Mus musculus: one gene and its partner. The protein of the gene in region 2 purifies or fractionates together with the protein of the main gene of each other region. This does not show direct contact. Links are inferred from orthologs where the notes say so. Each region holds a gene or a part of one and is shown on either strand. Other genes may lie near its edges.

Region 1 (4,471 bases), on a different chromosome or scaffold from region 2:
GATGCCAGAATCAAGAGCAGGCAAGGAGTGAGGAGGTAAGAGGCAGATTTTCAACACAGCCATGCCACACACCTTCACTACAGAAACTCCGGGTTCCTTTAAAAGCCTGCTTACCATACAATTAAACAGCCTGCTAAGCTGGATCTAAACTTAACAAGACACAATAAAGAAAAGCCCAGCTTCCATACAGACTAGACTCCTTCCCAGGAGCTCAAAGTGCTCCTAGCCTGTAACTAACCATCTGCTTCTCCTGAGAAGCGCAGAGCAAAATATCCTCAGAACGCAACACACTGCTTCTTTCCATTTGCTTGGGTTTTTTACACTTTATTGTGACATGTATAAATGTTTTTTGTGTATATGTGTACCACATGATCACTCCTGAGTTACAGAGACTTGTGAGCCATCATGCAGGAGCTGGGAATCAAACCCAGGTGCTCTGGAAGAACAGCAAGTGTTGAGCCATCTCTTCAGCCCCCTTCTATCTGTCTTGTGATATAGGGTCCCAAGTACCTCGGGCTGGCTCTGCACCCTCTATGTAGCAAGGGCTAACCTCAAACCTCTACCTTCCAAGTACTGAACTGCTGGCATGCACAGCACACTAGAGAAAACAACTTGTTCATTATCAGTAACAGAATAGGAGGCATATACTGATGTGAGGATTCCACACTGCTCCTCCTGGTAGAAACCAAAAGGCTGTTTCTCTTCTCACCCTGATGACACTGTGACACCCTGATGCCCAAAGCCAGATGGCCTTAAGAGTTCCAACCATTAAGGGCCAGATTCTCATTACTCTCCCTTTCCCTGCATACACTGGACGGGACCCACTGGGCTCCTAGCAGACTTGTTGAAGGCAGGCTGGCCTTGCAGTCACACCAGCCAGCATCCCCTGACTCCTATAATCCCCAATTCTGGAAATAATATACATACTGGAATCTGTGAATTAAACGGGTTCAAATATTCTTTAAATACTCATCTTGCAGTAGACTGACCCATTTTCTTCCCAGTACTTACAACCAATTCTAATTCAAACTCCAGTTCTAAGAGAGCCATCCAATGGCCTCCATGGGCACTAGACACACGGGCAAAATGATCCTGTGCAAAATTTCAATTAAAAACAAATAAACAAAACAAAACAGACCTTTGAAAAGGGGAAAAGATGCTGGTAGTGCCTATGGGCAAATGGTTTAGCTCAAAAGACGCTTGTTGGGCGAGCAGCAGGACTTGAGGTAAGATCACTCCTGTAGGCTAGCACCCAACTCAAAAAAGCTGGAGGGGCACGGAGCCGCATTCCCAGTGCTAGAAAAGTACAAGGACCTACGTGGCCTGCTGGCCCAGCCAAATGGTGAGGTCCTGTCTGAAACCATGAAGTGACAGGGACAGCCCAGACCCAAAATAGCCAAAGGAACCAAGGATTCAAAAGGAGCTTCAAAGTCAAAGCTTAGGCTCTAACATGGGGAAAACAGGTACATTAGCAAGCACTGGAGTCGGGCGAGAGTGGGAACCCAGAAACCTGCTCTACCCAGATAAACGTCCTCAAGGCTGGAGCCTATAGATTCCTCACATTAGTTTATCGGCTTCTCACTCTTAGCCATCTTTCAAGAAATAAGCCAGGCATGGTGACTCACATCTCAAATCCTGGCAATCTGAAAGTGGAGGCAGAAGGATGGGGATCAAAGACAGCTTCAGCTTCATAAAGAGCTGGCCAGCCTGGACCATGCCAGACCCTGTTTCACAACAAAACAAAACAACCCCCACAAACATACAAAAGGATTAAGTCAAACAATGGTGACATCAAATGACGACCTCTTGAAATATTGTAAGTTCTAAGTTGACAACTATATTGGGGCGCTGAATTTTCATGGTAGTTCAAAAGCAATTGTTTGGGAGTACATGTCTGTAGGACCAGCACCGTGAAAACTGAGAAGAACCAAGAGTTCAATTTCAGCCTGAACTACATAGAGAGGCCCTGTCTCGTTTAAAAAAAAAAAAAAAAAAGTGGTGTTCTTAGGCCCTTTGGCCCTTGGTATTAGCCACACCAACACATGAAGGAACTGGCTCAAGTGAAGTTGAAACGGCAGAGGAACACATGCTATCAACTGTCAAAAAAGATTTTAGGAATCTGGCTCCTGTGCAGGTAGACAGAAACAATGCCTTTAAAAAGCCAGTCACCATAGAAGAAATCATGAAGTAAGCGGCCAAACGAACAATGTGAAAAAGCAATGGTCCAGGGTACCGACCTAGTAAAAGGAAGCAGGTTGGTAATGTGCTTGGGTCCGATGGCAATGCCTTACTACGGAAACCATTGGGAACACAGCAACTGGTCAACCCTGGAAACCCTTGGCCAGGAAACTGGAATGCCCCCAGATAGTCCTGTTCGTCCTGCCCTCCACCAACCCCCAGGTGCAAGGGCTTGCCGCAGAAACGGACTCCCCAAATGGTCCCCCACTGTAGAGGAAACAAGATCGTTGTAACCGGGAGACCTCGCGCCCTGGCCGGGGACACGATCGCCCTTACCTTCCTCGCTCACGTCGTCTACGAAATCCTCGGGGTCGCTGAAGGAGGGCTCATCTGCCTCTCCGTTCTCCAGAGCCCGCGGCTCCGCCTCAGCCGCGCTCCCATCAGACCCGCCCTCCTCCTCCGCTCCAGCCGAGGGGTGCCCCCGGGCCTGCTCGCCAACGGCCTCTGCCTTCCCGGGAGCAGAGGGCTCCTGCGACGGGGACCGCTCCGCCGACTGCGGCGTGGGCGAGGCGGCCGGACTCGTCGCCGTTTCCTCTTCGGATTGGGCCGCCGGCTTGGCCCTCACTTCGGGCTCCGGTCCGGCCTCGGCGTCTTCTTCGGCGTCTTCCGTCTGCCCCACTTCGGACCCCCCAGACCCTGCCGCCTCGTCCGTCGGCGGCGACTCGGAGGCCGGCTGCTGCCTCGCGGGCTCAGCCCGCTCCTCGGCCGCCTCGGGCACCGCCACGTTCTCAGCGTCCTGCATGGGCCCGCGCTGCTTCTCACCCGGCTCGGCCGCCCTGCTTCCGACTCCCAGAAGTCACCGCGCGCCGCTAGCGCGGAGCCATGTGCGTGCAGCGATGGGATCGTACCAAGATGTGGCTCGGGGGAGACACCCACGCCCTCATTCCTCACGATCAGCCCGAGAAAACTCAGATATGCATAAAAATCTAGAAACAATTAAAATAATAAGTTTCAAGATATGCAAGTTTATTTATAGCCCAAAAGGTTTTTTAAGGTAGCAAATAAATTCACAAGGATATGTGGCTCCCCCATTCTAGCTAAGAAATAGTTGCGTCCAAGATGGTAGAAGTTCCTTTGCCTCTCCCAGCGGGCGCTACGGGGAAGGACTGTACTATCTGGGGAGCATCAAGTGGATTCTCAAATGATTAACACGCGTAACTGTATGAAGACAAAATATGTGACCATAAAATAATGCCAAGACAACTGAAAGCTCCACACATGATTCTTTGTAAGCTTTGCTTTTAATCAGACAGACTGCTTGACTGACATGACTGGCTTCGCTCCCCCGTAAGGTCTTGCATTTTAGACCGGTCCACTGACGGGGCAAAAGAACGAAGGGTTCCAAAATTACGCGAGGAGCTCGCCGACAACCAGGGGCCGCCAACACACACAAGAATGACTGCCCGCACAATGCAGAGTCGTGTGATGAGCGGCTTTAATCTCAATGGCCATCCTCACTGCAGCGGCTCGCAATTTAGCGTTGGCCCCAGACGTGAAAGTCACTGTGATTCTGTCTGCCGGTGACTGCGGTCTTCACGCGCGGGAGAGCGCGATCACGTGGGCCAGCGTGGGGTGGACGGGACGGAACCTTCGTGGAGTGACCAGGGGGACCCCAAGAGTGGTTTGCTTGAAAAGATAGTCAAGATTTTTGATACTTCCAGTTCAAAGTTTCGAAAATCTTAATAAGAACTAGTTGAGGGGACTAAGAGCTTAAGAACACAAGTTTCGCTCTCAGTACCCATATGGTAGTTTACAACCATCTCTTAACTCGAATTTTTTTTTATGCGTATCAGTGTTCTGCCAGCAAGTCTGTCTGTGCACCGTGTACAAGCGGAGGCCGAAAGAAGGCATCGTATCACGCGCAGGACTTAGAGTAGACAATTATGAACCGCATGTCGTTGCTGGCAATAGAACCCAGGCTCTCTAGAAGAGCAGGCAATGCTCTGAACTGTTGAGCCTAATTTAAAAGACAAAACAACAACAAAAACAGTTGAGTCACCTCTCTGGTCCCAGATCATTCCTAAGAAAAAACAAACAAAACTTTCCTTTTTTTTTTTTTTTAAAGGACCTGTTAGTTGACCAGGAAGCATAGACTTGGAATCCCAGCACTGGGGAGACTGAGGCAGAAAGATCATGCCAGCCTGTGCGATATAAAGACTAAACCACAAAACATGTGAACACGGGCTGATGGATAAGTTAGTACTGGGCTGGCTGAGGTTTTTTTTTTTTTTAA
Region 2 (3,805 bases):
GAAGGGGGAGGAGCCCTAGCAGGAGGCGTGTCCCTGTCCTTCCCCACTTCAGGTCACTTCCTCTGAGAGAAGGATGAAGCAGGGCACCTAGCTAAATGCCTGTGTCACTTTAGGTAGGCTAGGCTGGCCTTGAGCCTCCAGAGTGCTGAGATCAAAGACACCACACCTACTTTTTCCTCTTTTGGGATAAGACTGTTTATTCAAAATGTGACAGGAACGGCTGTCACTGCCTTTCACTCTGCGCCTGGCTCTCTCTACACGAGGAGGCAGGCACTGTGCCAGTTCTAATAGTTTCCAAGTTAGAACAAGAGCAACTACCTTATGGTGGGACCAAATGACTCATCGAGAGCCACAGCCCTGAGTGGACAAGTCTTTAATTCCAGCACTCGGGAGGGAGAGGTAGGTAGAGTTTGAGGCCAGTCTGGTCTAGAGGAATGCCAGGGCGGGGGGTGGGAGGGAGGGGGGGAGAGAGAGAGAGAACATGGACGGCTCACATCCAGCAGGGGAGACTACTCAGCATCCCTCACAGTCTCTCCCTGGGCCAGCAACCTGGAATCTGGCAGACAGTTCCCAGTCCAGGAATACAGGCTCTGCCTCGTGCTTTGCACACCCAGCACTGCTCTCCCACCAGGACACTGTCTTCCCTACAGTCTGCGGCCCCAGGCCACTTACTGTCAAAGTCAATCTTCTCCACGATGTTCTTGGGCTTAATGCTCTCTTCCTGGCTGCAGATGAAGACCTGCCCTGACTCGTCAGCGCTCCAGCCGTACTTGCTCATCCACACCTTCAGCTGGTTGTCTGCAGGTGACATGGGCGGAGGTGTTGGTGGCCTGAACCCTAACACTAGGGGCTTTGGAGGCAGAGGAATCGGGGCTGAGCAGGCCAAGCCCCCTTTGCTAACTGCTCTAGGCCAACTCCTGCCTGGACAGCAGCAGGACTCGGAAGAAGAGATCCTCTAGGGCAAAGCCAGCAATCTGGGGCTCAGTCTCCACTTGGCCACCAGGGGGCGCACTAGCCTCTTTCTCCTAGTCACATAGGGGTTTTTCTGTAGGTTTTTGGTTTTGGCTTTGGTTTTTTTTTTTTTTTGAGACAGGATTTCATGCAGCCCTGGCTGGCTTGGACTCATCATGACGTAAACTCCTAATACTCCCGACTCTCTTCCAAGTACCAGGACTATAGAATTTGTGCCTCCAGGCACAGGTTCCCTTAGTTTCTTAACAATACTATTTATTTATTTTAAAAATAAAAACAAGACAAAACATTTATTTAGGGCTGGGGAGATCAGCGAATAAGAGCACTGACTGCTCTTCCAGAGGTTCTGAGTTCAATTCCCAGCAACCACGTGGTGGCTCACAACCATGAGATCTGATGCCCTCTTCTGGTGTATCTGAGGAGAGCAATGGTGTACTCATTTGTGTGCGCAAATGTGAATGTACGCAGGTGCTCCCAGGGTGAGAAACTGCATGGAATTTCTTGGTGCCTGTGACCGCCCACAATGGGTGCTGGACCCCGCAAACCTTCTTCCGCATCAAGCAGGAGATAGATGCTCACAGCTGCCGAACCTCTCTCCGGCCCAGCGCCACTTTTTGCAAACTCAAGTGCTGAGGGTTTTGGTTTGGAGGGACCTTTTAAGAACCTCATTGTAATCAAGGCTGGGCCTTCTCAGAGCCGTCCCATGTCCTGTCACCAGAGGACAGACCACGGAAGTTCTCCAGAGATGTGTATGCTTCCAGGGCACGCAGGCACAGCACACATGACAGGCAGGCCCCTGCTGCAGGAGGGCCACACTGGCCTCCTCTAGAGGCCGAATGCCATCCCTCCAAAGCAGCCCTGCTACCCTTGGCAACACCAACTACAAGGTGCTGATGCTTCCACTTCGCTCCATCCATGAAAAGGGCCTGAGCTCTCCTATTCACTGCCAAGGTCAGCATCAGGACCACTGTCTGACATGTGCATCTGTTAACTGGTTGGTGCAGAGGCTCATGCTATAGCCCAGGCTGGCCTGGAATTCCAGACAATCTTCTTGCTCCAGCTTCCTATAACTGGAATTCCAGGAGGACAGCACTACACCTGGTCAGGGTGTTTTCGAGGCAGTGTCTCACTACATAGCCCTGGTTGGCCTTGAACTCATGGAGATACAGAAGGCAACATCCTATACCAAACCCTCACCCACACTCTGGGGCAGGTAACAACCTCGGAAAGGTGCGGTGGGTTCCCCTGAGCTGCCTGAGGCCCCATGCCCCAACCACCTTTTCCTCTCAGACTGACAGAAACAGCACCAGGCCTCACCAGTCAGGTCTCCGAGCATCTCGGCCAGCAGCCAGCGGTCGATGTGCTGGTACGTGATGCCCACCACGTGGCAGATAACTGTGAGAATCAAAACAAAGACAGTCAAGAGGCCGCTGGCACGTAATCCAGGAACGGAGCTGTGTGAGAATTCTGAGGGCTCTTCTGTGTCCCCCGCAGGTGTAGTAAACAGCAAGGGCTTGCTCCAGATTACACACAGCTGCTTCTGTTATTAAAAAACCACTTCCAAGCGCAGCTTTATCCTCGGGGCTGTATATGGCTTGAACTTTGGGAACTGTGCTCGTATGACCATGCTTAACTTTCAGAATATAAACTTATGCTCTAAATAAAATTGGCTATTGCACAAGGCCCAGTCTGCCTCATTTTTAATCCCCCTTCTCCCAAGTCCCTGCTACACTGCCTTAAGCCCTCGGGAACCCAGGCTCCCAGGACTCACATTTTCGGACAGAGTCTTCAAAGCCAGTTATGCCTTCCAGAAGGTCCATGTTCTCATCCAGGGCTTGCTGTGGAAGAAAGGATGCCCCAGTATTAACACTAGCACCATCACTCAGCATTAACCAGTCAGTGCTGACGTTGTGGAGGCTGAGACAGGAGGGATCAAAAGTTCTGAGTCAGCAGGTGTGAGCAATCCGGGTACAGGAGATCGTGCCTCTGCCTGCCTGCCTGCCTGCCCACCTGCCCGCCCCTGTCTCTGGTTTAAGACAAGGTTTCTCTGTGTAGCCCTAGCAGTCCTGGAACTGGCCCTGAAAAACCAGGTTGGCCTTGAACTAAAAAAATCCACCTGCCTCTGCCTGGCTGGGAAGTCCAACAACCAAATCATAGAAGGTAAATGTGTACACACACACCCAGGCAGGTCATCTGTACACTTTCCATTGCCTCCATCTCCTTCAGCCACAAGGGTCTCCTCACTAGACCTGCCTACCTCAGGCCCTTTGTGCGGCTTTGTGCCTGGAAGTTTCCTCTTTGCAGCTCATCCTTCACCCCTCCAGGTTTTTACTCTCAGCAAAACTCCCTTAAACAAGAGCGGGAGAGCTGGGCAATGGTGGCGTACGCCTTTAATCCCAGCACTTGGGAGGCAGAGGCAGGCAGATTTCTGAGTTCGAGGCCAGCCTGGTCTACAGAGTGAGTTCCAGGACAGCCAAGGCTACACTGAGAAACCCTGTCTCAAAAAAACAAAAACAAAAAAAAAAAAACAAAAAACAAAACAACAACAACAAAAAAAACAACCCAAAACCAAACAAACAAACACAAGAACAAGAGTTGGAGAAAGAAGGGCTTCACTTTGGTGGAAGCCATTAAGTTGGGAGAAAACCTATGAGAGCAACTATCCTGGAAGCCCTTGGCCTTGTCTGCACGGGAAACTGGACACCTGAAGGCCAAGGTTACTGTGGGTCTAACAGGAGATGGTGTGTGCTGAAAGCTGAGCAGAGGGTACCACAGAACCCTCAGTGAGCAAAGCAGAGCAGCTTCTAGGTCAACAGGGGAGGGGGGCACTGAG

Evidence for each region.
Region 1: the proteins of Eif3k (region 2) and Eif3b purify together in Homo sapiens (affinity purification with mass spectrometry; 7 studies listed by BioGRID and IntAct, with this or other methods). This does not show direct contact. The link is inferred for Mus musculus from reciprocal best matches to the Homo sapiens genes EIF3K and EIF3B.

What each region holds. Positions count from the first base shown.
Region 1 is NC_000071.6:140,417,870-140,422,340, reverse strand, and holds the start of Eif3b (eukaryotic translation initiation factor 3 subunit B), read right to left. Parts: upstream 3,037-4,471; 5' UTR 2,981-3,036; coding exon 2,515-2,980; intron 1-2,514.
Region 2 is NC_000073.6:28,971,860-28,975,664, forward strand, and holds part of Eif3k (eukaryotic translation initiation factor 3 subunit K), read right to left. Parts: intron 2,811-3,805; coding exon 2,744-2,810; intron 2,368-2,743; coding exon 2,290-2,367; intron 799-2,289; coding exon 673-798; intron 427-672; coding exon of another isoform or gene 374-426; exon of another isoform or gene 176-373; intron 1-175. UniProt on the Homo sapiens protein: Component of the eukaryotic translation initiation factor 3 (eIF-3) complex, which is required for several steps in the initiation of protein synthesis.